3 linked regions of the Ovis aries genome follow. Each later gene encodes a partner of the first gene's protein in a complex. Links are inferred from orthologs where the notes say so. Each region holds a gene or a part of one and is shown on either strand. Other genes may lie near its edges.

The links.
Region 2: TIMM21 (region 1) and mitochondrial import inner membrane translocase subunit Tim23 share a complex: the UniProt entries of both Homo sapiens proteins name them as parts of the TIM23 complex. The link is inferred for Ovis aries from reciprocal best matches to the Homo sapiens genes TIMM21 and TIMM23.
Region 3: TIMM21 (region 1) and TIMM17B share a complex: the UniProt entries of both Homo sapiens proteins name them as parts of the TIM23 complex. The link is inferred for Ovis aries from reciprocal best matches to the Homo sapiens genes TIMM21 and TIMM17B.

The regions. Positions count from the first base shown.
Region 1 is NC_056076.1:4,425,663-4,433,366, reverse strand, and holds the start of TIMM21 (mitochondrial import inner membrane translocase subunit Tim21), read left to right. Parts: upstream 1-3,409; 5' UTR 3,410-3,709; coding exon 3,710-4,010; intron 4,011-5,834; coding exon 5,835-5,897; intron 5,898-5,995; coding exon 5,996-6,093; intron 6,094-7,704. Other genes in the region: FBXO15 (F-box only protein 15), read right to left, coding at 2,602-2,729. UniProt on the Homo sapiens protein: Participates in the translocation of transit peptide-containing proteins across the mitochondrial inner membrane.
Region 2 is NC_056078.1:43,000,990-43,008,693, reverse strand, and holds the end of mitochondrial import inner membrane translocase subunit Tim23, read right to left. Parts: intron 3,024-7,704; coding exon 2,908-3,023; 3' UTR 2,524-2,907; downstream 1-2,523. UniProt on the Homo sapiens protein: Essential component of the TIM23 complex, a complex that mediates the translocation of transit peptide-containing proteins across the mitochondrial inner membrane.
Region 3 is NC_056080.1:56,176,243-56,183,946, forward strand, and holds TIMM17B (mitochondrial import inner membrane translocase subunit Tim17-B), read left to right. Parts: upstream 1-2,451; 5' UTR 2,452-2,488; coding exon 2,489-2,514; intron 2,515-3,387; coding exon 3,388-3,487; intron 3,488-4,499; coding exon 4,500-4,563; intron 4,564-5,491; coding exon 5,492-5,620; intron 5,621-5,710; coding exon 5,711-5,821; intron 5,822-5,911; coding exon 5,912-6,000; 3' UTR 6,001-6,411; downstream 6,412-7,704. Other genes in the region: PQBP1 (polyglutamine-binding protein 1), read right to left, coding at 1,669-1,735. UniProt on the Homo sapiens protein: Essential component of the TIM23 complex, a complex that mediates the translocation of transit peptide-containing proteins across the mitochondrial inner membrane.

The sequences.
Region 1 (7,704 bases):
TACTGAAAATGTAATGAGTTGTAAGGGAGGGTTGTTCTCATCTCAAAACTGAGAACCCCACACACAGGAAGATCTGGGAGCACAGCTATCACAGCAAAAAACATCCTTTCAGCTGGAGCCTTGGTTCTCAAAGGCCCCCAAGCATTCTGGGCTCCAGGTCCTCTGAGCACACCCTGCAGAAAGCTTAAAACTTCTTTAACATTTTTCCCCAAAATTGTTACATTAGTGTTCCAGGTCCAGAGGGAATCCCCTGCCCACTAGCTCATATCTGTTTGAAAGTACAGCCTATTTGTTCCTATTTTGTTTTCCATGATTAAACTAGATCTCCCTAGCCCTGCACTGCCAGAGCAGAAGACTGAGGCTCTAATGAGGTAATTAACAGTGACGCCTGTGTCACCATATATCTTATCGTTCTGGACTTTGGCACCATTGAGAGCATATCTGCATTTCTCCATAAAATAAACTAACTGCACATTCTTCAGAGCTACACAGTTCACCACCAGAAGCCCCATGCATGTCATGAAGCTCTGTATGGCTACAAAGTTAAGCAGTGCGTATTAAGCTTTATAACTAGTAAGATGACATTTAGTTTAAAACTGATTTTTTTTTCAAGTGACAAACTTTACCTGATTGCTTTGAATTAAGTTCAGTGTTTTAAAAACCTACTTTCTGGGCCTGATTCTTAATATCTGATAAATCAAAGAAATTAGACCAAGCAGAAACTAAGCCAACTTGCAGCTTTCTGTGATATTCTTACAGTTTAAGATATTTATACAAATTCATATTTTGTGTTAAAAAGATTTAAACATATTAAGCATTTTGTGTGATTCTTTGTTAAAATCTAATTTTTTCTGCCTCAAGACATTAAAAATAACCACCTACTTAGACTATAACCATTCTTAAGATCTGACTTTTCTTGACCAAAAAGAATTTATGTACCACCAAATCACAGACTGCCATGCACACTTCCATGCCAGGCATAATTACAGGCATTCTAATTACATCATTTCAACAAGAAGTTCACTCAACTTACAAAGTAATAGAAGATTCATCAGGTAACAATCATCCTGCTCCCACTAACAGAACCTTATATATAAAGACTAATTTTAGTAACAGTGGCAAATTGATTTAAAGTTCAATCTTCCTACTTTAAATTCCTGTCTTTCTCTCCTACATAATAGAAATTTTACAGGCATTATCACCATTTTGTCAGGAGGCTTGTGATATGTGGAGCGTTTACAGCTATTCTCAAGAACCAACTATCACTGTAATACCTAGGGAGGGGGGCCCTGCTTCTGAAACTAGCGTAAACGGGGTAATGGATCCTGGCAGGATGGACACGGGACACAGTCCTGGAGATTCAGGGGGAAAAAATATACCTTAAGTAGTTGAGCTGGTAAGTAGTAGTCTGTAGTGTTAGTCACTGCTTAGTAACAGAATCCTTTTCTATGCTTAAACACAGACATCTGGTTTATTAGAAGGCATAATATGGCAGACTTTCTATATCTATAAATCGAGATCTACAAGCAAAAAGAGAGTCTTCAAGAATCCAAACGGTCCTTCGCACTATTCCTCCACCTTGCAATCTAACTGGGAAGACCGGTGCAGAGCTAGGAACAGCTCAGCATGAAAGAAAGGGATGTAATAAGACATGAAGACAGCACTAGGGATACTTCCTCCGACATTCACTCTGTGAAGTGAGCCACTGTCCTTGGAGTTAAGCTGAAGTTCCTTTTGGAAAGCAGTTGCCACCTCCTGCGCCCTGCCCCTCCCCGACCTCACTCCTCCAATCTCCTTCTGTGACTGCAGAAGAGGACCACCCTTCAGCCGCCAGGCACCCCGAGAGAACTGGAGCGAAGACGAGACCCCTGTCACCAGAACAACACACATACACACACCCTCCTCCGCTTGGACAAGAAGACTACATAAGAGAATCCGGGAGCGAGCACCGAGGGGTGTCTGTCTATTAACAGAAGGCATCCCCCCAGGGTCTGCTGAGAAACGCAAACCTGGCCGTGATGGCGGAGGTGCAGCTCCCAGACCAACCTGCCTAAAAGCGTTACCTGGTTAGGGGGCTGAGTCCTCCATTCGTGAACTGGGTGCAGGAGAGAAAATTGATTATGTTTTGATAAGTAGAATCGACTTTTCTAAAGTCATAAAAAAGACAAAAACCCGGCCCCAGAATTAGGTAGGAAATAACTTCGGGAACATGCTTTGGAGGGGAGCCTTGCCGGCTACGCGGCGCGGGAGCGCGGAGATTCCCACCTGCCCGCGTAGGTGGGCGCGTCCACGCGGCGGCTCTCCGCGAGGGCTGCTCCAGGTCTAGGGGCTCGCACGCCCCCGTACCCCCAGGGCCCACTAACTGAGTGAACCGAGGAGACAGAATATTCCAGGGAAGCTCCTCGACTTGTACCGTGACTTGGGGTTACCCCACGCTTCCAAGCTTTAGACACTTCCTCTCTCCGTCCTTCCAGACCTTTCCCGCGCTAACAGGTCGGAATCAATGAAAAGAAAGAGAAAGGGAGGCGGGGGAGTGAGGGGCTACTCCTGTCGGGGCTCCCGGGCGCCCGCCCCAACGCCACCCCACCCCCGGAGAGTCACCTGAACCCTGCGCGCCCCGCGGCAGCCCCGGGGCTCCCGAAAGCTGAGCCAAAGCAGCCAAGAGGCGGGGGCCGCGCCAAGAGGCACTGCCATTGCAGCTGCAAGAGCCGGCCGCGTCCGATCGCCATGGATACCCAGCGCCGACGCTCCTCCTCCTGGCCGTCGCACCGCACCGGGACACGCCCCCTCGCTGGCGCGTGCGCAGAGGAGCTGGGGGGGCGGGGCCGAGGGCAACGCCGCCTGTCAGCCGGCTCCAGGGGACCTGGCGCCGGCGCCGATGCCGACGCCGACGCCGAGGACTCCTGGCGGCGGCGAGAGCGCAACGGGGATTCTGTGCTCCCACGCAGGCTCTGAGAGTGCTTCGCCCTCCCCACCTGCGGGCTCTGGGGTAGTCTTCGCTACTTCCTGCCCGACTTGTTTAAGAACACCAAACGAAAAGGCTACATTGTCTGCCCAGAGGCAACAGCAGGGCCACAGTCAGACCGAGAATTCCCCAGTTGGCACGGCCCCTTCTAGTGGGACACCGGGATAGGCGGTTTGTAACCGCGAACTTCATTTTTGCAAGTTCCTGAAGTACGCAGCGCCAGGGGCTCCCATCCCGCCGGCCACCAACAAAGCCCCGCCTTCCTGTCCCGCCGAGGCGCGCGGCGTCCGCGCAGGGGCGTGAGGGAGGCCCCGAGGCGTCCGCGCGCGCCCCGGCTGCCTTGCACTGTGGGAGATGTAGTCCTTGAGCGTCCCGCGCCGCGGCAGTTCCGGGAGGAGTGCCGCCCTCGAACTACCACTCCCAGGGCTCCTAGCGGTCTTCCAGGTCCCTTTGCGAGGGGCCTGCCGGGGATCAGGTGAATGTCAGCAGAGAAAGGAATCCAAGTACTTTAAGTCCAGTGAAAGGAGAGCCGAAGGGAAGGGAAACTGGGCGTCAGCTCCTTTCAGGAGACGTTCTGTCTTGATTGACGCAGTTGGAGCTAACGTTTTTGCCGAACACGCCCGTGCAGCGTCACCGGTGTGGACGCGAGCGCTCGAGCCCGCGCCCGGCCGGGTGTGTGGCAGGTCGCGAAGGTCTGCTCTTCACAGCTGGCGTCTTCCCTGAGCGGGGCGACCTTCCGGGAGCATGATCTGCACTCTCCTGAGAGCTGTGCGGTGCACGGAGAGGCTGCATGGGTGCCCCGGGAAGCCATGGTTTCTGCCGCACTCCGTGCCTCACAGAGCTTGCTCGCAGACTGAGCCCAGGTGGAGATGGGGGCTGCAAGAGCAGAACACGGCGGCGCGACCTAGGTATATTTGGGGAGTCAACCAGAGATCCATCTGGACGCAAGGACGGAGCCCCCAGAGCGCGAAGGAGGACGGCAGCAAGCAAGTGTCTGTGCACAGGAGTCAGGGCGGGGAAACTGTCCTCTCAACGTCACAGAAAGGTAAAGGGGATTCCGTGTAGCGATCAGTCTCAGCAAACGTGACGGGAGCTGCCGACGCCCTTTATATAAGTTCAGAACCGAGAATAAACGGTTCACGCAAATTAAAAGGTAGAACCGTTGAAGGCAGTTCAAAGCAGAGAAGATAGGCCTGCAATTTTCTTCCCAGATTTGAGAATTCACATTTGACGGTTGATTTTGATGCAACTTTGCTGAATTATGCCTGTAAGATTTTTCTCAACTTTTATTAGTTTGGTGTGGAGAGAGCCTATAAAACCGTTGTTTGATGTTTTGTAACAGACAAGTAGATTTCCCAGGTGTTACTTCACCTCATTTGAATCTCACCGTTTACTTTTTCAGACAGGCTCAGTAGTATGTATAAGGCTAATTTCCCCAGTTTTGCAAAACTAAAAATTGAATGTATTTCTAATCTCAGTTTCCTAATAGCCATGCCAGTACCTCTTAGGACAACCACACCTGTCTTTAGTTTCTAAGAATAGCGCTGTCTCTGACATTTGGCCCTTAGATGCAGTGCTGTTTTTTATTTATTATTTTGATCAGTGGCAGGCAGTTTTAGAGGCTTCCATTCGACTTTTCTGATTATGGTATGGTGGGCAATGCACCTCAAAGGACCTAGTTTAGGGACTATTGTTGCTGATGACTGAGTATAGCCGTTCCAGTTATACTTTGAAAATCAGGGAAATGACCGTATGGTAAGTCCACCCAGCTGTGACCCTCTTACATGCCAGGCTCTTTATTACATAGCCACCACAGGTACTCAACAGAGAGACCATAGAGACTCCTTAGGTTATTGATGTCAGCTTAGACTCTGTCCGGTGTACCTTGAAGTATCCCCTTTTCCAGCATGGGGTCACCAAGTTAATGGCTGAGGGGCTCTGGTGAAGGACCAGGGGAATCTTATGCTTGCGCAAGTGCCTCCTGATGGAGTTGGCCTTCCTTCGGTAAATGAATGCCAGGAGTGAAGAGCGGTTCAGGTCCAGAAACCGAGCTGTTCATTGTCACGACTGTTGCCACCTGGCTTCAGTGCTGGGCCATCCCCAGGGCTGTCAGAGCACCTGTGGGCAGTGTTTTCCAGGCCCCTCTCGGGACAGCCGGCCCTGGTGTCCGACACCCGCTTGAGTACACCCACAGTTCGTGTGGCAGTGCTGTCATTTTTACTTCACTTAATGTGGACCACGCTCGCTCCATCTTTGCCAGCACGAGCCGAGCTGTGCACCAGCTCTCAGGCTGCTTGTCACACTTCAGTGTTTGATCGGAGAGTGCTGATCAGTCAGCTCCCATTCGTCCCAGTCTGTATTTCGCGCCCCTTCCCGTCTCCCTTAGGATATAGCTGGCTCTGCTGGTGGGGCCTCCGGCTGCTTCAGGGCTGGGGTAGCCCATTTCTTCCTTCCTTCCAGTTACGTTGAACCCTGGCCAGAGCACGTGTCTTGCAAGGTGGAAGTCTCCACCAGGTCTGCGAGCAGGAGAAACAGCTAGCCTTTAACTGGGAGGCGTGAGCTGCCACTTCATGTGGGAGGGTTCAGAGGAAGTGGATCAAAGGATTTCCTAATCTTAGACAGTAAGGAGGCATTAAGATCAAGTACCTAAAGTACCAACTCCTCAGCCCTGCTCCCAGAGTTGGCTGTGGTTCTTTCCAAATAACTTTTCAAGTGATTCCAATGCGCAGATTTGACAGCAGCTGCTCCAGAACACACGCCGACCCCTCCCGTGTCCGAAACCCACATCTCAACTGCTGGAAATCCTGAAGCCAAGAGCATCCAGCTCATGTCCGGCACACGTGTAACCAGGGGTGTTTTCTCTTTACAGTGAAAGAAGCTGGAAGAGATTTTACCTACTTAATAGTGGTGCTTATTGGAATCACCATTACAGGTTGAAATCACAGCAAGTATAAACCTCCTGAATGTCTTTTTCTCTCTCCATTTGTCTCGTTCTTGTTTTGCTAGATCTCCTTTTTCTGTGATTTTCAGGTGGCTTGTTTTACACGATCTTCAGAGAACTTTTTTCTTCATCTAGTCCGAATAAGATATATGGGAAAGCCCTAGAAAAGTGCAGATCGCATCCTGAGGTTAGTCTTTAAGGCTGTTATTCCAACTCCGATAATAGGGAGGAAAAAACGTTGGGGTGACCGGGGGAGTGGTGGGCAGAAGTCACATAGTGGTTCCGAGACTGGTGAAATTTATGTAATAAATTGGAATGGTTGGGTTGTGATTATGTTATTAGCTCCTTGTTCGCTACTTGAAATGCTTTGATTTATGGGCAGCACCCAGAGGTCCATACAGGGACATTTCAATTCTAATTGTAAAAGCTTAGACTATACCAGCATGTTAAACTCATGCACTAAGTGTCCAGTCTTTTTAAAAACCTGATCCATGACCTCATGATCATAGTGGGAATTGTTGGAGCTTACTGAGAGCATAGTGTGCACCACACACACTGCCCAAGGTCTGAGTGCTCATTCGCACGAGAACCACTCATGCCGGGCGCGGTCTCTATCCCGCATGCAGAAGAACACTGACATTTAAAGAGAGTAAATTAACAAAGCTAAGATGACCAAGCCAGTAAGAGGGAGAAAGTGAATGTGTTAGTCTCTCAGTCATGTCTGACTCCTTGTGACCCCATGGACTGTACCCTGCCAGGCTCCTCTGTCCATGGGATTCTCCAGGCAAGAATCCTAGAGGGGGTTGCCATGCCCTCCTCCGGGGGATCTTCCCGACTCAGGGATCAAGCCCCGGGTCTCCCACATTTGTAGGCAGATTCTTTACCTTCTGAGCCACGAGGGAAGCCTCGTAAGAGGGAGAGCCAGAACCTAGTCCAAGTTTGTCTGATTCCAGATCTTATGTCTTAAGCACAGCCTGCCTGAACCAGGAGTAGGCAGGCGCAGAAAAGCTACATTGATTTTTTTTTTGAAGGATCCCATCGAGAAGGAAGTTTTCCATAGGGCTTTCCAGTCACAGAGAGAAAGCCAGTGTAGCCTGTGAAGGCCCAGATTTCTTACTCCCTGAGTGCAAAGCTTCAGCATTGAAAAATCTAATTCGTTGAAAGCTTAATTCTTGTACTTTGAAAGAATATGGCATATAGCATCATAAATCGCATGGCTGTTTCTCATGTAGACCAAGGAGTAATAGCAAAGAGACAGTCCCTGGGGAGGGCGGGAAGGTTTCGAACCCGCAGACGCTGTCAGCCTAGGTCCTGTCAGCATCCATGCCCTGCCCTGGGTTTCCCTGGGCACCGCCTCCACATGCTCCATCAGTGTCTAGTCTCGGCAGGACGGAAGCCTCGGGAGCTAACGGTCTCTGACATCTTTCTTTCTTACTGAACTTGGGCGATCTGAGAGCCGTAGGGGAGATGCCACTCTGAGTGAAACTCAGCAGGGAATAAGGAAGTTCCCACTGTAGTTATTGGAGAAGGAAATGGCAACCCACTCCAGTGTTCTTGCCTGGAGAATCCCAGGGACAGCAGAGCCTGGTGGGCTGCCGTCTATGGGGTCGCACAGAGTTGGACACAACTGAAGCGACTTAGCAGCAGCAGCACTGTAGTTACTGGGAAACCTAATTCTACCTGACAAGATACGCTTTACACACTATGATGATAAATATGACCAGTCGCGTAGTTAAATGTTGGAAGAGATGAAGAGTTGCTGCGTTGTTCACAAACTAGCCATTCGGTGATTTTCAGC
Region 2 (7,704 bases), on another chromosome or scaffold:
TCTAGCTGCTTATGGCTTGTCTTATGTATGAATTCAGTTTGCTCACCAAAGTGTATTTCTGTTAGTGGTTTGTGTATTAGGTGAGGTGGGAAAAGAGAGATCATAGAAACTTCGTGTTTCACTTGAACTTGCTCCATGAAATAACTGGGACATACTTGAAAGTAACCTTTCCAGATGATGTAGCTGTCAGAATTTTTGGAGCCTGTGTGGTTTCTAATAGCTTATTGAGAAATGAGAGCTTTAAAGTGGGAAGACATTTGCTTTTAATCTTACAGTGAAGTGACTTTTTATGTGGACTTTTTTTTACAGATGTGAAGGAATCGAGTACTAGTCAATCAAATTTTCTGCAGATTATCACAAATCCATGAGCTGAGTGACTGTGGCTTGCGAAATCATTGTCTCTGGGTCTGATGTAGTTCCTTTCCTCCCCAGTCTCGAACTAGTGAAGAGAAATTAGTCATCAAATTATGAATTACTGTGGAAAAGAAAAAGGTGATTTGTTGATGCTGAGGTGATTCAGGTTCTTTCTTACAGAAGTATTAATTCACCCCTATGCTAGAAATGCATCTTGGTGGGTAGGTCTTTCTCATAAGCCTCCATGGCTCCTTAGATTGGGTGGTTATTAGAAGTACATTAAAACACTGTAGTTTTGAAAATGAAATAGTTCTATAATCAAAGTGTGTTGATGTATTCTAAAGCTAGTAAAATTACCTTTCAATTGGCAGTCTTTGGATGCTTCCCTTATCCTGGGTTTTCTTCCATTAATGGTGAATTTTCTATTTAATTAATATTCTATTGCATTTTACATCATTAACCTTGCCAATATAGTGGTTTTTTCTTACCAAAACACATATTGAAAGTCTTGGCAATTTTTGACATTTATTACAAAACATTTTAGCTTAGGTGCCAGATTCTACATTTCTTCTTTGGAAAGACATTCAGATTTTGCAAGATCTGTCTGTATTTCCTTCTCTAAATGTTATTGTGAAAGAACTTCTCTTTCGGAAGGGCTCCATACTGCTTGAAGACTATGTTCAGAGTAGTTCTCGTCTCTTCCAAAATATTCTGAAGAACTACAGGCAGCAGAGCCCCAGTGCTGACTAATCAAAAAGCAAACTATGTTGGAAATGTACTTGAACTGTTCACTATCCTAAGTGTTATTGGTGCATCCTGTGTAAATGGAAGCTGAACTTGACACCTGGTGCTTTTAACTAGGCATAAATTAAACGTCCGCTCACTGCAAGCATAGCATACCTATACCTCTAATAAAAGTGTAATGCAGTGACATTTTAGTGAATAGGAAGTTTTGAACACTTGTGCCTTGGGGTGTTTATTGAAGCTTTATGAAAACTATCAATGTTTCCTTAGTATCCTTAAAGTTATGTCCGTGCTTTAAAAAGTTTCTCTGTAGGAGAGGTGGTATTTATACCATGTTTTAAAATTCTCTAAAATGAGACATCTTAGCTGCTTTCCACTTTTAAACTATCAAGCCACTCAACTTGCCTATTAGAAATACCTGTAAAGTCTGTGATGTGGTCATCTGGAAAGCCCCTTTGGGGAAACATCACAGTCCCCAGTGTCACTGCCATACAGCTTCACGAGAGTTCTTAACCACAGCTGAAAGGAGCCTGTTACTTTTTAGTTCTTCCAGATACCATTTAGAACTTTAAAGGTGGTGGGTAAAAACTTAAGCAGCTTCTCCATTATCTTAGGTTGCAGGAAACTGTAGTTGAGGTTTAACAGGCTGTGTCTCCCTAAATTAACATTAATCACTATGCTGAGTATCTAAACCATTCTTTTGCATTGATGCATTTTGTATCTGCCTCCATTCATTAAAAGCGTAACACCCATATAATTGTCCTGTGTGTTTGTAAAACATCTTGTCACAAAATTATATGAATGTGGTATCCTTTGGTTACAAGCACAGCTGAGAAACACTTGAACATAAAAAGTTCTTATATTCACTTAAAATGCTGTTTTATCACTCCTGAATTAGCAAACAGGTATGTTATTACTATCTGCTGTTGTCTTCTGGTTTTCTGCCAAATTCCTGCTAGCTAGATGTGTTCAGAAAGGCTCTACTTCACCTTCTCTGTAATCATAATAGCCAGCAGTTGTTTATTACGTATGTGTGTGACCTAGAGTGCATTATTTGGTTAATTTCATTTCATAATGAGAAAACAAACTCAGAAATCACATAACTTGTCCCCCCTTTCTGCTGCGTTCCCAGGGCTCCCTTAGAAACTTCCAGCTCTGTCTATGCCATCTCTCTCATCGTCTCCAGTGAGATTGAGTTAGGATTGTTTTAGCACAGTACAGTGACGGTATAATAGTTAACCTGAGATATCTTGAGGCTGTTTAGTGTCAGCTCTGTTGGAGAAAAAAATTTAACCTACTTGCTAATGCTGCTAGTAGCCCTTCACTTCATCACAAACATGAAAACATGCTTTGGCCTATGGGAGCAGAGATAAGTCAAGAGCAGCTCTGGAGAGACACCCACTATGTTAATGCTGGAGTTAGGACTTCAGTTCTATTTTCACCCTTTATTGGGAATGCAGAGCAACATTACAGTCTTGGATCATTAAGTGAACAAATGTGGCTGGTACAGGATTGACAAGCAGGCCTGCATTCTGGGATTAAGTGGTTTTCCAGAAGTGGGTAGGAGCAAAAACAGGTGCAAGGTCTTCTTAAGAGAACATCACTCAGCCGCCAAGGGGTGTTCTGTCTTCAACTCAGTAATGGCTGGAAGGAGTGCCAGTCCTGGTCAACCATCCATGTTCTTCATCACAGCAAACTGGAATCTCTAGTTTTTCAAATTAGTTGTAGAAGAGTAAATGCCTCCAGACTGACTTATAAACTGATCAGGGTGACTACTAAGTGTCCTCCGTTTGTAAACTAGCAGAATCTTCAGAGTGACTGCTGAAGCACAGAGCCCTTCATGTGCTCCCAGTTATTGTACAGAGCGTAGAGGCTCGTGAGCGTTAGTCCTGCTAGACCGCCTCGTGCTGCCCCTCGAAGGCCGCCTGGGAGAGGAAAAGGGAGAGAGTCATTACACACTGTCCCATCAGAGGGCAACCTAAGAGGTTTGCAAAGCTGGGACACACTCTTCAGATTTATGAAGATTCCATCCCAAACAGGAGAGTAATCTCTAAAAATAATAAACCAAGACTGAAATTCAGTAGACACAGATTCCCCCTAAGTCACCTGCTTAATATGTAAACGATGTATCCATAGTAACAGCCTTTTTTTCACTTTTAATCTCACAGTTATCAGCATGGTGTTTTGACTTTTCTCAATCGGACTTGATCCTAGGACATTTTTGGACAAGACCTTATGCTTCTTATTGAAATCCCAGGCAGATCAGTAATTCCCTGCTAGTCCTAACTTTCAGAACTTCACTGGCACTGCCAATTGATTTAAGGTGGTATGTAAACAAGGCGATACCCTCTTTGGAGACGGTATTAACAGGCTTTGGACTCTGCACAGGTCCTCTAAATATTAATTTTGAAGACTCAAGACAGTGGTGTGAGATAAGATGGCTGTAATCAAGGTCTGAGTTGGGTGCTGATGAAGCACCGACTCTCCCATTACCTATCCCTATTCTGATGTTTCAGAAAACCTCCAACTAATGAGCAGAGACGTAACTTAGCATCATTTAGTCACTCAGTCGTGTCTGACTCTTGCGACCACAAGGACTGCAGCCCGCCAGGCTCCTCTGCCCCTGGAGTTCTCCAGGCAAGAATACTGGAGTGGGTTGAATACTGGAGTGGGTTGCCGTTTCCTTCTCCAGGGGATCTTCCTGACCCACAGATCAAACCTGTGTCTCCTGCTTGGCAGGCAGGTTCTTCACCACTGAGCCACCTGGGAAGCTCCAAGCATCATCATACTAGTTGAAAAACATTCCAGGATTAGGATTAGACTTTGAGCTATTTTTGCTTAACAAAAGGATTTTTTCACGTGGAAAAAGATTATGGAATAGGTATTTCATTTGAAATGCAGAAACAATGTTTCAACCAGTTACCCGAAAATAGTCACCAAGTCTAGTAAAAGGAATAGGGGTACCCAAAGCAGCTTTTAAGAAATACTTGATGTTCTCTTAACAGTTTCACAAATAAGTAGGGATAACACTTCAGGTAGTCTGTATGGTATCTATGGAGTATCTGTCGCAAGTCATGTGTTAGGAAAGCAGGTCCAGTGTTTAAGGTGTACCCTATTAGAAACCCTTTAGCTACATTCCAGTAAACTCCATGAAATTCCGTGACGCTGGTGAGTTAGAACACTTCACACCAACCATTTCTGCAACGCACGTCCTGCCAGATGGCTTCAGATGATAGATTAAAGGGTTACTCCCTCTAGGAGCCTCTCTAGCCTGAAGACTTTAGATAGCTGACTGGCTTAGGCTTCAACTCTGAGGTACCCCGATTATCTCTCTTAAACAAACCCAAATAGAAACTGCAGGCATCATCTATAAACAGCCGTCAAATATGTAGGAAGGGGGATGATACACAAAATTAATCACAGTAAATGGGAGATATTTCCTTCAAGTCTATCTCATCTCTCTGTCTTGCCAGACTTCAGATTAGGCATCAGCTGCATTTGCAACTATTCAGTGTGGCTGGAAAATGGGCTGACAGTGAACTCCAGACCAAATTTCTAGAAATGGAAAAATAAGCAGTGAAGCCCAGGAAAAATAAATGCCTTCTAAGACAGCATCACTATGGTTCAGATACGAGAGTGAAGTTTTCTGAGTGTGACGGATGTTCTTTAAGCAGGTTACACAACCAGAAGGCTCCAGCGTAAACCGGAAGCTCTGAAGGTTTAAGAACTCTGGGGCGTCAGTGGCATATCAAGTGTCTCTTAACAGTTTATCCCCTAGAATGCCTTCTCCTTTCATACCAAAATGAAACAACCTTAGTACAAAACATAACCCTTTTATACCAGCCTTCTCTGAAGGCTAAGAAAAAATTGTTTCTAGCATGACTGAGCAACTGTTTCTAGCAAGAAGACACCAAACATGTAGTGTATGATTTACTAATAATCACAGTAATCCTGACTCAGTGAAAGTTGCTCAGTCATGTCCAACTCTTTGCAACCCCATGGACTACACAGTAGTCCATGCAATTCTCCAGACCAGAATACTGGAGTGGGTAGCCTTTCCCTTCTCCAGGGGATCTTCCCAACCCAGGGATTGAGCCTAGGTCATGCTGCAGGTGGATTATCTACCAGCTGAGCCACCAGGGAAGCCTTTTATTATGTTTTAGTTTTAACTCTTCACAATAATGTCAGGGTTTTCCATCTGGTTGATCTGTTAAAGAATTTAACAGCCTTGGCTTTAGGCTTTCTGTAACAAAACCACCTTTGCCCAACTAAGTACAGGAAGTTGATTAGCAAATACACTTGCTCTGAACACAGTGAACCAAATGAGGCCAATGGTTAACCTCTATAAAGCAAAACAAACAGGAGGCTTCTGTTTTATTGTCTATCTTTTGGATCCTTATACAATTCTTCCAAAAAGGGCAAATGTCATCTCTTCTAAACCCGGGAAAATGAGGCCCGGAATATTTAAGTGCCTAGTTTATTTGGTATAGAGCTGATTACTGGCAGAGCTAACACACTGAACTGACAATCACTTCAGCACAGGGGTCAGCACAATTTTTTTTGAAACAGATGGAAAGTAAACCCACTCTTTACCCGCATGTCTCTAAAGAATGTGTATCCTGCTAGTTCTCGATGTTTCGATCCTACATACTGTAGATACATATAACCACGTAAAATGTCCACAATTTTAAAATGTAAAATACATTCTTAGTCTGCAAACTGTGAAGAGACAGGCATCTGGCCAGAAGGAGCCTGTTGCCCTGTTTTAGGGGAACGGCCTTACCTACACACTGAAACAGCTTACAAATTCAACAAATTTCTGCACTATTTAACTTAAATTGGTTTTAAAAAATTCTTTTTAAAATTGTGATAAAATACACATAACAAAATATTTGCCACTGGTGAGTGTACACGTCAGTGGCGTCACGTACACTGACACTGGGCTACCAGCATCCGTCTCCTTTCCTTCGTGGTTTAGGCTGACTCTAGACTGAAGGAGCACCCAAACTGTTTTCCAAATCCTTGAATATGGGAGTTTTTTAATAAATTCCTGCCACATGAAATTCTGTGCTTTAAGTGGCGTCTAAACCAGAAATCAGTAAAAGACACTGCTTTGCCTCCGTCCGAAATTTTGATGTGCTGAATTAAACTAATCAGCTGGGAACTAGGAACCAGTGTTGGAATTCTGGGTCAGCAGGTCATTCACCTCTTCTGTGTTCCACAATTGTGGTGGAAACTGAAATCTGAAAAACGGAAACCCACTTGTCACCTGACAAAGCACTAATGAATATTCTTTTTTGCTTTTTCTCTTCTGAGCCATGAGCATTCTTTTCCATAATTTATGCTGGAGATGTCCCAGGCTGGGAAGATGCTATTCCTGCAAGAAGTCCTGGACACAGAAAACTAGGTTCTCATTTTTCTCCTGTGATAATCCCAAGTATTCAGCCTTCCCCTTTGTGTCTTTAAAATATGTGTAATGTGTCTTAAACGAGGTGGTAATTCAGTCCATTCTTATACTTAAGGCTGCCCCCAACACAGGAAATGCTGTAATGGCTGACGCTGAGTAAGAAAGCGGGGACGGGTGAGGACTGAGCTGGAGCTCCCGTGTCCATCCCCTGGGGCAGCAGCTCCCCCAGAGCAGCTCCTGCCATCTGCTACCGTACACAACGTGAGCCGTGTGTCTTCCATTTTTGCAAAAGAAGCTAAAATCTCCAGATTTTTGTGTGGAATCTCCTGTTCCTTAAATTTTACTTTGATCTTTCATAAACACAGTTTGGGCCGATTAAACACTTGCTGGCTGAGTGCCACCCCTGTGGTGCCAATTAAGGTTTTAAACTCCTTTGTCTGACCCCAGAGATTTTCAGTGTGAAAGTATTTTTAGGTTTTTAACAAGGTTTTTCTATGCCAACATTTTCGTGTATACAAAAGATATTTCCTGTCTTATTGTGCCTAGGAGATCTTTCCTATCTTATTATGCCTAGGAGCTCTGCTGATGTGTATCAGAACAGGCACGTGCTGCAAGAAGTCTTGTGAGCTCTTAGGGATACAATTCCAAATGTTACCATTTTCAGTATTAAAAAAGCCTCTCGCTCTCAGACATACCATGAAATTTTAGATTTTATAATCCTGTAAGAGAGACTTCACTCTCATTTCTAGTAAAAGTGAGGCAAAAAATGCTACTTGATGTTTGTGATGGAGGAATTACCTAAGAACAAAAATTACTGAAGTGTCTGAAGCATAATAAAACAATCAGAAGTACTGTTCAGAGGCCTGAGTACAAAACATAAACAGGCAATTATGGCATAAATTTAGGCAATTTAAAACAAATGTGAGAAAAATCTGGGGCTGTCACTAGTTTTATGATCTTTTGAAAAAGAACGTCTTTAATGTGCTCATCTATAAAACTGGGGTATTGTGATGATCACTTCACAGAGTTTAACAAGTTATACATTAAGTGGTTACTACTGAGAATATAACCATAACTCAGCAAATGTTCATTTCTTTTCCATCTTAGAGGACAATTTGATATTTGATCTTCATCCAGGTAATTTTGATTCAACTCTTAGGATTTACTCCACCATGTTCATAACAACATCATGCACGGCA
Region 3 (7,704 bases), on another chromosome or scaffold:
GAGAGACACACTCACATTCACGTGGACTGTGTGTGTGTGTGTGCATGCCAGGTCTCACATGCCAGAGCAAATACTGCTCATGTTCCAAATCCAAGTATCTGAATATCAGGATTTACCAAAAAAATTTACTCAAATCTGTTTACGGGTACTACTACCCAAACTTATCTGGTTTCATACTTTAGACAGGGATACATTTTTTTTAAAAAGTATCCATATTTATTCAGCTTCTGAGTTCAAATAGTATGTGACACTGTATTATGCAAATTTGAATAAAATGAGTTTCAACAGCAAGGGGTTTACCTAAAAATATGTCCAAATCTATTCAGCTTCCACGGCTGGCAAATATGGGGTTTCTGACTCCTATATATTGACTAGCAAGTTTGGACAGCAAGGGATTTATCCAAACACTTCTCTGAATCTGTTCAGTTCCTGATGCCTGCAATAGTTGTCAGTTACTATCAACAGAATAAAGAAAGGTGTATGAGTACTTGGACCTCAGTAGTCCTATCACAGATTTCACCCATGGATATAGTTAACAATTAAATGTATATGTCAGCAACAGCATAGTGCCTGTCACACAATAGGCCCCAAATAGATGTCAGCTACAATCATTAATATTGTTAGTAAGATACATACAGTTAGTACAGGGCCTGGTAGCAAACAGCCTTAAAATAAATACCATATCAGTATCATTATCAATATTATTAATAACCAAAGATCTTTGGCATACAACAGGCTTGTAATAGGTGTCACTTATCAATAAAGTGAAAATAAGATGAGTTTTCTAGTACCTGGCACACCTTAGCCCAAAATAGATGCCAGCTTTTACTATTATTGATAAATAAGGTATAAATACTAGCAACAGCAGCACAGTAGGCCTAAATGATAGATCCTATCATTACTTTATATACTGTTAACCACAGTGTATGATAAGCACTTAAGAAGACTCAAAATACATGTCAGCTATTGACATGGTGAACAATAAGGTATGGACAACTCACACAGTGCCTAGTTCCACAGCAGGTCTGAAATAATGTTATCTACTAGTATGTTACAGAACAAAGTATCAGCACCCTGCGACTATACTTGGCCGACAGGAGGCTGCCATAGGTGTCAGCTTACTATTACTATCCTTATTATACTTCCAGGAATTAACTGATGGGTTAAACTTTGGCTACAGAAGACCCCAAAATACACATCAACTGTCAGTGTTAAGGACGAAATGTCTATTCCATACCCCACCTCCCCTCCTCCTCATAGGACAGGAATAGGGGTCAGTAACACGTATTGTTGGGAATCCCTGGTAGCTCAGAGGTTAAAGCATCTGCCCGCAATGCGGGAGACCCGGGTTCGATCCCTGGGTAGGGAAGATTCCCCTGGAGAAGGAAATGGCAACCCACTCCCGTCCAAGTATTCTTGCCTGGAGAATTCCATGGACGGAGGAGCCTCGTAGGCTACAGTCCACGGGGTCGCAAAGAGTCGGACACGACCGAGCGACTTCACTTTCACTTTCTTTCACTTTCAACACGTATTGTTAACAAGGAAATGCCTGCCACCCCACTGCTTGGTGCACAATAGGCCCATGCTAGATATCAAGCGGCAGTATCCGCAACAAAGTGCCTGTCAAGTCGGGCACATGGTAGGCCTCTCTTCTCTTAGTTCTCTCACCAGGCTCCAAATGTTTGAGGATGCCTCTCTTGGCCAAGCGGGTCTGCAACGCAACAGGCAGCGGCATAGCGGATGGCAGACAGGCCTACGGAAGGACAGACAGCCTGAAAAACAGCTCAGATGAGGACTGAATCTGGTTACAAGAGTAACCAAGGGCCTCCCCGCAGCATGTACTCAATCTGGACCCCCATCTACACTAGGAGGGAAATAGACCCTACCCGCTGAAAGGTGGAAGGGGTTGTAAACAGCAATATCACCAACACTCTCACCAACTCCGCTCTCCCAGGCCAGTGGCTGCAGCACCGGGTTCCCGTCCTAGGCCCAGGCTCCGCCCAGCCCAAGGGGCCATGCGCGGCTCCCCCACTACCCAAAATGGTTTCACCCAACGTCCCCCAAAGACTGCTGGGTGGGAGGAACCAAAGCGTTGGGATGGGGGAGCACAGTGTAACACCTCCTCCAGCTCCAAAAAATGCACCCACCCCAAATTACCAATACAGTCACGCAAGTAGTGGACGACTTTCCAACTGGCCACCTCTCTCTCGTCGTCTCTATGAGCGCCAGGACCACACGACTCTCTTCTCCCAAAGCACAGAATGAGTTTCTCTCTCCCCGAGCTTAGACGTAACTGCACGACGCTCACGCAGTGAAAAGATGACGCAAACCTACCTAGCCAATGAGAATGCGCTTTGATCTGAAGTCTGGCGAAACAACAGAACCGTTGCCCTGGGATAGGTGGAAAGCTCGGGCGCTTGTATACGTTTCCAGTGGAGGTGTGGCCCGGCCAGGGTTTAGCGATACTGCGCGGCCGGACGCCGGCGCCATGGAGGAGTATGCTCGGGAACCTTGGTACAGCGAGGGGCATAGGTGTCGGGACTGTTGCTGCGGCGCCACGGCCAGCGGTGGGAGGCGGGTGGGGGAGGCACGGGCCACACAGCGCCACGTCCCAGACTCGGAACACATTTAGATTTTTGTTGTCTTCTGCTCCTCTCCACTTGGTTTCTCTTACTCGGGCTCCGTTAAAAGGGGCCACAATTGTGTGCCTGCAGAAGAAGGTTTGGTGCAGGACGGACCACTCCACGTTTTCCTTGATTCCGTACCTCCCAGCCCCTCTGTTAAAGACACGCTGGTCGAATCCATTCCAGCCAGGGGGTGGTGCGGTGTTGAGCGGGTATCCCCTGGAAAAACGCATGGTTTTTCCCAGGTCGCTTTGGTTAATGCTGGCGGGGCCTGGATGAGCCTGACCATGATTGTGGTCATGGAGGGGTGATGGGTCCTCCGCACTCTATGTGCTTGATTTTCCCCAGTTGTGCGAGGGTGAAAAGGGAAGAGGACGTGGCTTTGTTGGACGTGCTCATTATCGGAAAAAGGGGTGCTACCCCATTCTGCTTAAGGAACAGTGCCTGCAACACCTGTAGCGTAATTCAAACGTGCCAATTCTTTAATTAATGCCCTCTCATTAATTCATTTAATCTTTGACAGTAGTCAACCAGTTGGTTGATTCCCTGGTTGGCTGTGAAGGGGAGGGGCGGACAGGGCCAAGACTGATGTTTTCCCCTCTTCACATTATTTTTTGCTTAAATGAGGGGAGAAATAATCCCAGTATTATCTGAAGTGCTAGTTCTCATTTGGGTGACGTATTGCTCCCAGTTGGAAAGAGATCTTGTGACTTGGCATGAGGGAGCGCTCACATTAACCTCATCCTCCCCTTCCCGCTTGCAGCCCATGGCGAATTGTGGATGATTGCGGTGGAGCCTTCACTATGGGTGTTATCGGCGGTGGAGTCTTCCAGGCCATTAAGGGCTTCCGTAATGCCCCTGTCGTGAGTCCTAGCCTTCCCTGGGTGCTGCTGAGGTCCTGCCCTGACCACATGGGATACTGTTCTGAAACTGCTTGGAACTGCCAGTCACGTGCACTTATTCATTCTGGTGTCTGCTTACCTACTGTGTGGCAGGCCTAGCTCCAGGATCTGGGAGTTTGGGGGAACTGCAAACATGACCTCTGACCCTCACCCTGCTGGAGCTCCTCAGAAATGCTGTGCTGTCAAAAGGGTCATAAAACCAAAACCTAATTGTGTGCAAAGTCAGTCAGATTTTACCTAGAGTCAGATTCTGGGTGGGAAGCCTGGGAAAAGGGAAGTGACAGGAGTTTAACTGGCAGGAGGAGGACAGCCTTAAAGTTGAGCACATGCTTTTAATGTAACATAATCAATTCTCTCTCTCTGACAACACTCCCCTTTTCCCTTCTTGGGAGATCTCATCGAATGTCATGACTTTAAATGCTATCCACTTGCCAAGGTCTCTGCAATTTCTCTAGCCCTGTACTTCCTCCCAAATCCTGGCACTCTCTTTCCTGAATCTTTGTCCAGGTTTCTCCCTCTCATCCTCAAGGTCTCAGAACAAATGCCCCCTTCCTTTAAGAGGCCTTTCCTGACCTCTCAGCCACTGTCATAGCTCTTTATCTCATTTCCTCTAGGGTCCTGATTGCTGCCTGAAGCTATCTTGTTTATCTGAATCCTTATTCAGGATCTGTCTCTCCCACTATAATGTGAGCTCTGAGAGGGTAGGGGCCAGGTCTACCTTGTTCACTGCTGTATCCCTGCATATACCATGGTGCTTGGCACATCAGTGCTAAGTACTGAATGAATGAATAACTTCCTATCCTAGCTTTGAGAGCACTTGTAGTGGGCCCTAGTTCTTGGCCACTTCTCCACATCTGTACCCTTGAGGCCCCTAACAGGTTTCCTCCCTCCATTCCTCTCTTAAAAACTAGAAACCTTATCTGCCAGTGACCTGAACCCTGCTCTGACTCCCTTCCTCCTCACTTTCCCTCAGGGAATGCGGCACCGATTGAGAGGCAGTGTCAATGCTGTAAGGATCAGAGCCCCTCAGATTGGAGGTGAGAGGTTTGGGGAGACACGTATGATAACAGAGTTGGGAATGCTTGCTCCTTGGAGTCTAGACTGCAAGTTGAGGGTCCAGATTCTAGCCCCAACTCTGCCTGGGGCTTCCCGGGGGGAGTGTTATTTCTCGGCAGTTTCATACGGGTGAGTTGTGGAGTTTAAATCCAGGCCCTGGCTCTTCCCTGATGTCTGTGTGACCTTGGGCTAGTGGCTGAACCTCTCTGAACCTCACCTGTAACATGGGAATGATAAAAGCAGTAACCACCTCAATCAGTTTTGTCGTTTATGTAACTTACATAGTACTTACTAAGTGCTGGTTGCTTGCTAAGCACTTTGATAATATTAACTAATAAAAATTTTCAGAAGTCAGTAACATGAAGTGTGTAGATCAGGTCTTGGCACATGGTAAGACTTCTGTAAATAACTATCATTGTTAACTGGCTCTCCTCACCCATTTCCTTCTCTCCTAAACCCAGGTCAGATTCCAATTCTATGTGGTAGTTACGAAGGTCAGAGTTGCTCTGTTAAAAGCCGTATAGACAGAAGTTCCCTGGTGGCCTAGTGGTTAGGATTCTGAGCTTTCATTGCTGTGACCTGGGTTCAGTCCCAGGTTGGGGAACTGAGATCTTGAAAGTCCAATGACAGGGCCAAAAAAAAAAAAAAGCCACATTGAAGCAGACAAGTCTGCTTGTAACCACGTATCCGCTCCCTATGAAGGTGAAGGGAGTGCTGATGGGGATTATAAAGAGCTTGAAGGAGCTACCACAGGGGCAGGTGGACATTGTCTTCTAGGAGTTTGCCATGTGCCTTTATGTCTGGTTATTCTCCCCATTCTTTGCCACAGTATTCAGGCCCTGGGAGTCCCTGAGCCATGGTTTCTCAGGACTACCCGCAGGCACTGATTAGGCTTTGGTTTCCCCACAGGTAGCTTCGCTGTGTGGGGGGGCCTATTTTCCACCATCGACTGCGGTCTGGTGCGGCTTCGGGGCAAGGAAGATCCCTGGAATTCCATCACCAGTGGAGCACTGACTGGGGCTGTGCTGGCTGCCCGCAGTGAGTGCCCCAACCCCAGGCCCCAGCCCCTTCCACCCTGCTCTTCCTGTTCTCACCGCTCTCCACCTCCCTGTCCCCTCCTTTCTCCAGGTGGCCCATTGGCCATGGTGGGCTCGGCAATGATGGGGGGCATCCTGTTGGCCCTCATCGAGGGTGTTGGCATCCTTCTCACTCGCTATACTGCCCAGCAGTTCCGCAATGGTGAGTAACCAGTGAAGCTGGTCATGGAGAGGTGGGAAATGCTCTGTCTTGTCTCCTCCACTCACGTTTACCTGTTTATCTCCTTTCTAGCACCCCCATTCCTGGAGGACCCTGGCCAGCTGCCCTCTAAGGAGGGAACCCCAGGCCCAGGCTACCCCAGCTATCAGCAGTACCACTGAGGAAGTGACCACCTGTCACCGCCACTGTGGGAGCTCCTCCTCGGTCCCCTCCCCGATGATCTACCTCGAAGGGAGGGCTGGCTCCCAGTTGGCCCATGGGACCCTCGAGAGGGCCTCTATCTGTTCCTTTATCCCAGGTTGGGGGTGGGGCACCCCAGCTGCCCTGATGGATGGGTCCCTTTTCTCTCAGGGCACCCCAACCCCCATTCACATGCTCTCATCCCAGTCCCTTTGCATGGCACTCTGATGAGTATTTAAAGCCAGTTTTGAAAATGCCTGTGTATGTACTCCTTGAGCCACCCATAGGAGCCGCTCCCTGGGACAGGGTAGAGCCCTCTTCAGGGATGTGGGAACCATCGCATTTGGAGTCACACAGAGAGTCGTCTCTAATAAAGGTTTGTGGATGAGTGAGTAGGAGGGGGTCTATGAATCAAGATGGGAATAGTACATGAATAAAGATGTGTGGGGGCCAAGTGGTGAATCACAAGCAGACAGAAGAGGAATGGGCTTAGAAAAGGAGTGACCACAGATTGCTGGGGTGGAGGTGGTGGTTCAGCATGTGGCACCTCTGAGCCCTCTTCCCTACGTCCTCATTGCCAAGGCTGAGAAATCTGACCTCACAATGAACAGTCTGCCTAGATAGCAGTCCCCACATTTGTGAAGATAATTCCCCCCTCCATGTGGCTTCATCAGGGACCTGGGATGGAAGTAGGGATCCAGGAGACCCAGCTTCCTTCAAGAAGGTACCTTTAGTTTCCTCTGCACCACAGCCATATTTGTGCTCTGCAATGCTCAGTGTTGTCAGTATTTAAGAGTACCACAGAATAACCAGAAAATGAGTTTTCATTTGGGGGTGGGGTGGGGATTATGGGAAAGAGAACTTCCTGGATAGACATTGGCCCCAAACACTGTCTCTTGTGGGCAAACACCTACATGTGTGGGGCAGACGCCTCCAGTGGGGTGCAGATGGCCTCATGGGAGACACACAAACTGTCCCTTGCAGAGAGGTGGAAATGCTCTCTCTCTCATACAAAGTCACTCCCTGGGGGTGCAAATGCTGAGTTCTCAGGCCTCCCAAGGCCTCAACGAGGACCTAGTGATCCTTGATGGTGGTAGAACTGCAGTACTCCGTGACGGAATCAGTGCCAGGTATGGGCAGCTGGCCCAGTGCCTATAGCTCTCAATGTCACAGCAGGGCTCTAGCCTTGAATTTAGAGACTCCACCACCACGCCACCAGCAGCAACACACCTGCCAGTGCAGGACCTGGTCTCCAGCCAGACCCAGGGTATCTCGGTTTGCAGCCCTTGTGTTTATAGACCACTTCCGTTGGTTCCGCCCATTCGGTGCATCTAGGCCTCATACTTCGTGACTTCCAGACCCCATTCCCCGCTGTTTCCAGACCCCACCCTGCTCCTATCAAACAGGCACGCTCTAGCTCTTCTAAGCGGTGTTCTGTCAGCTCTCTGTCTCCACCATCCTCAGCCCTCTGTAACGTCCACAGACGTCTCCAGGATCCTCTCGCTGTGGTCCGCCCTCTCTCCCACCCAGCCCTCTTAGCCTCCTGCAGGCCCTCTGTGTATCAGCTCCAGCTCTCCTGAGGCCCTGCCCCTGCTGTGTCTCCCTCAGTACATTTCAGTCCAGCCACTCAGTCATGTCCAACTCTTTGTAACCCCAGGCTTCCCTGTCCATCACCAACTCCCGGA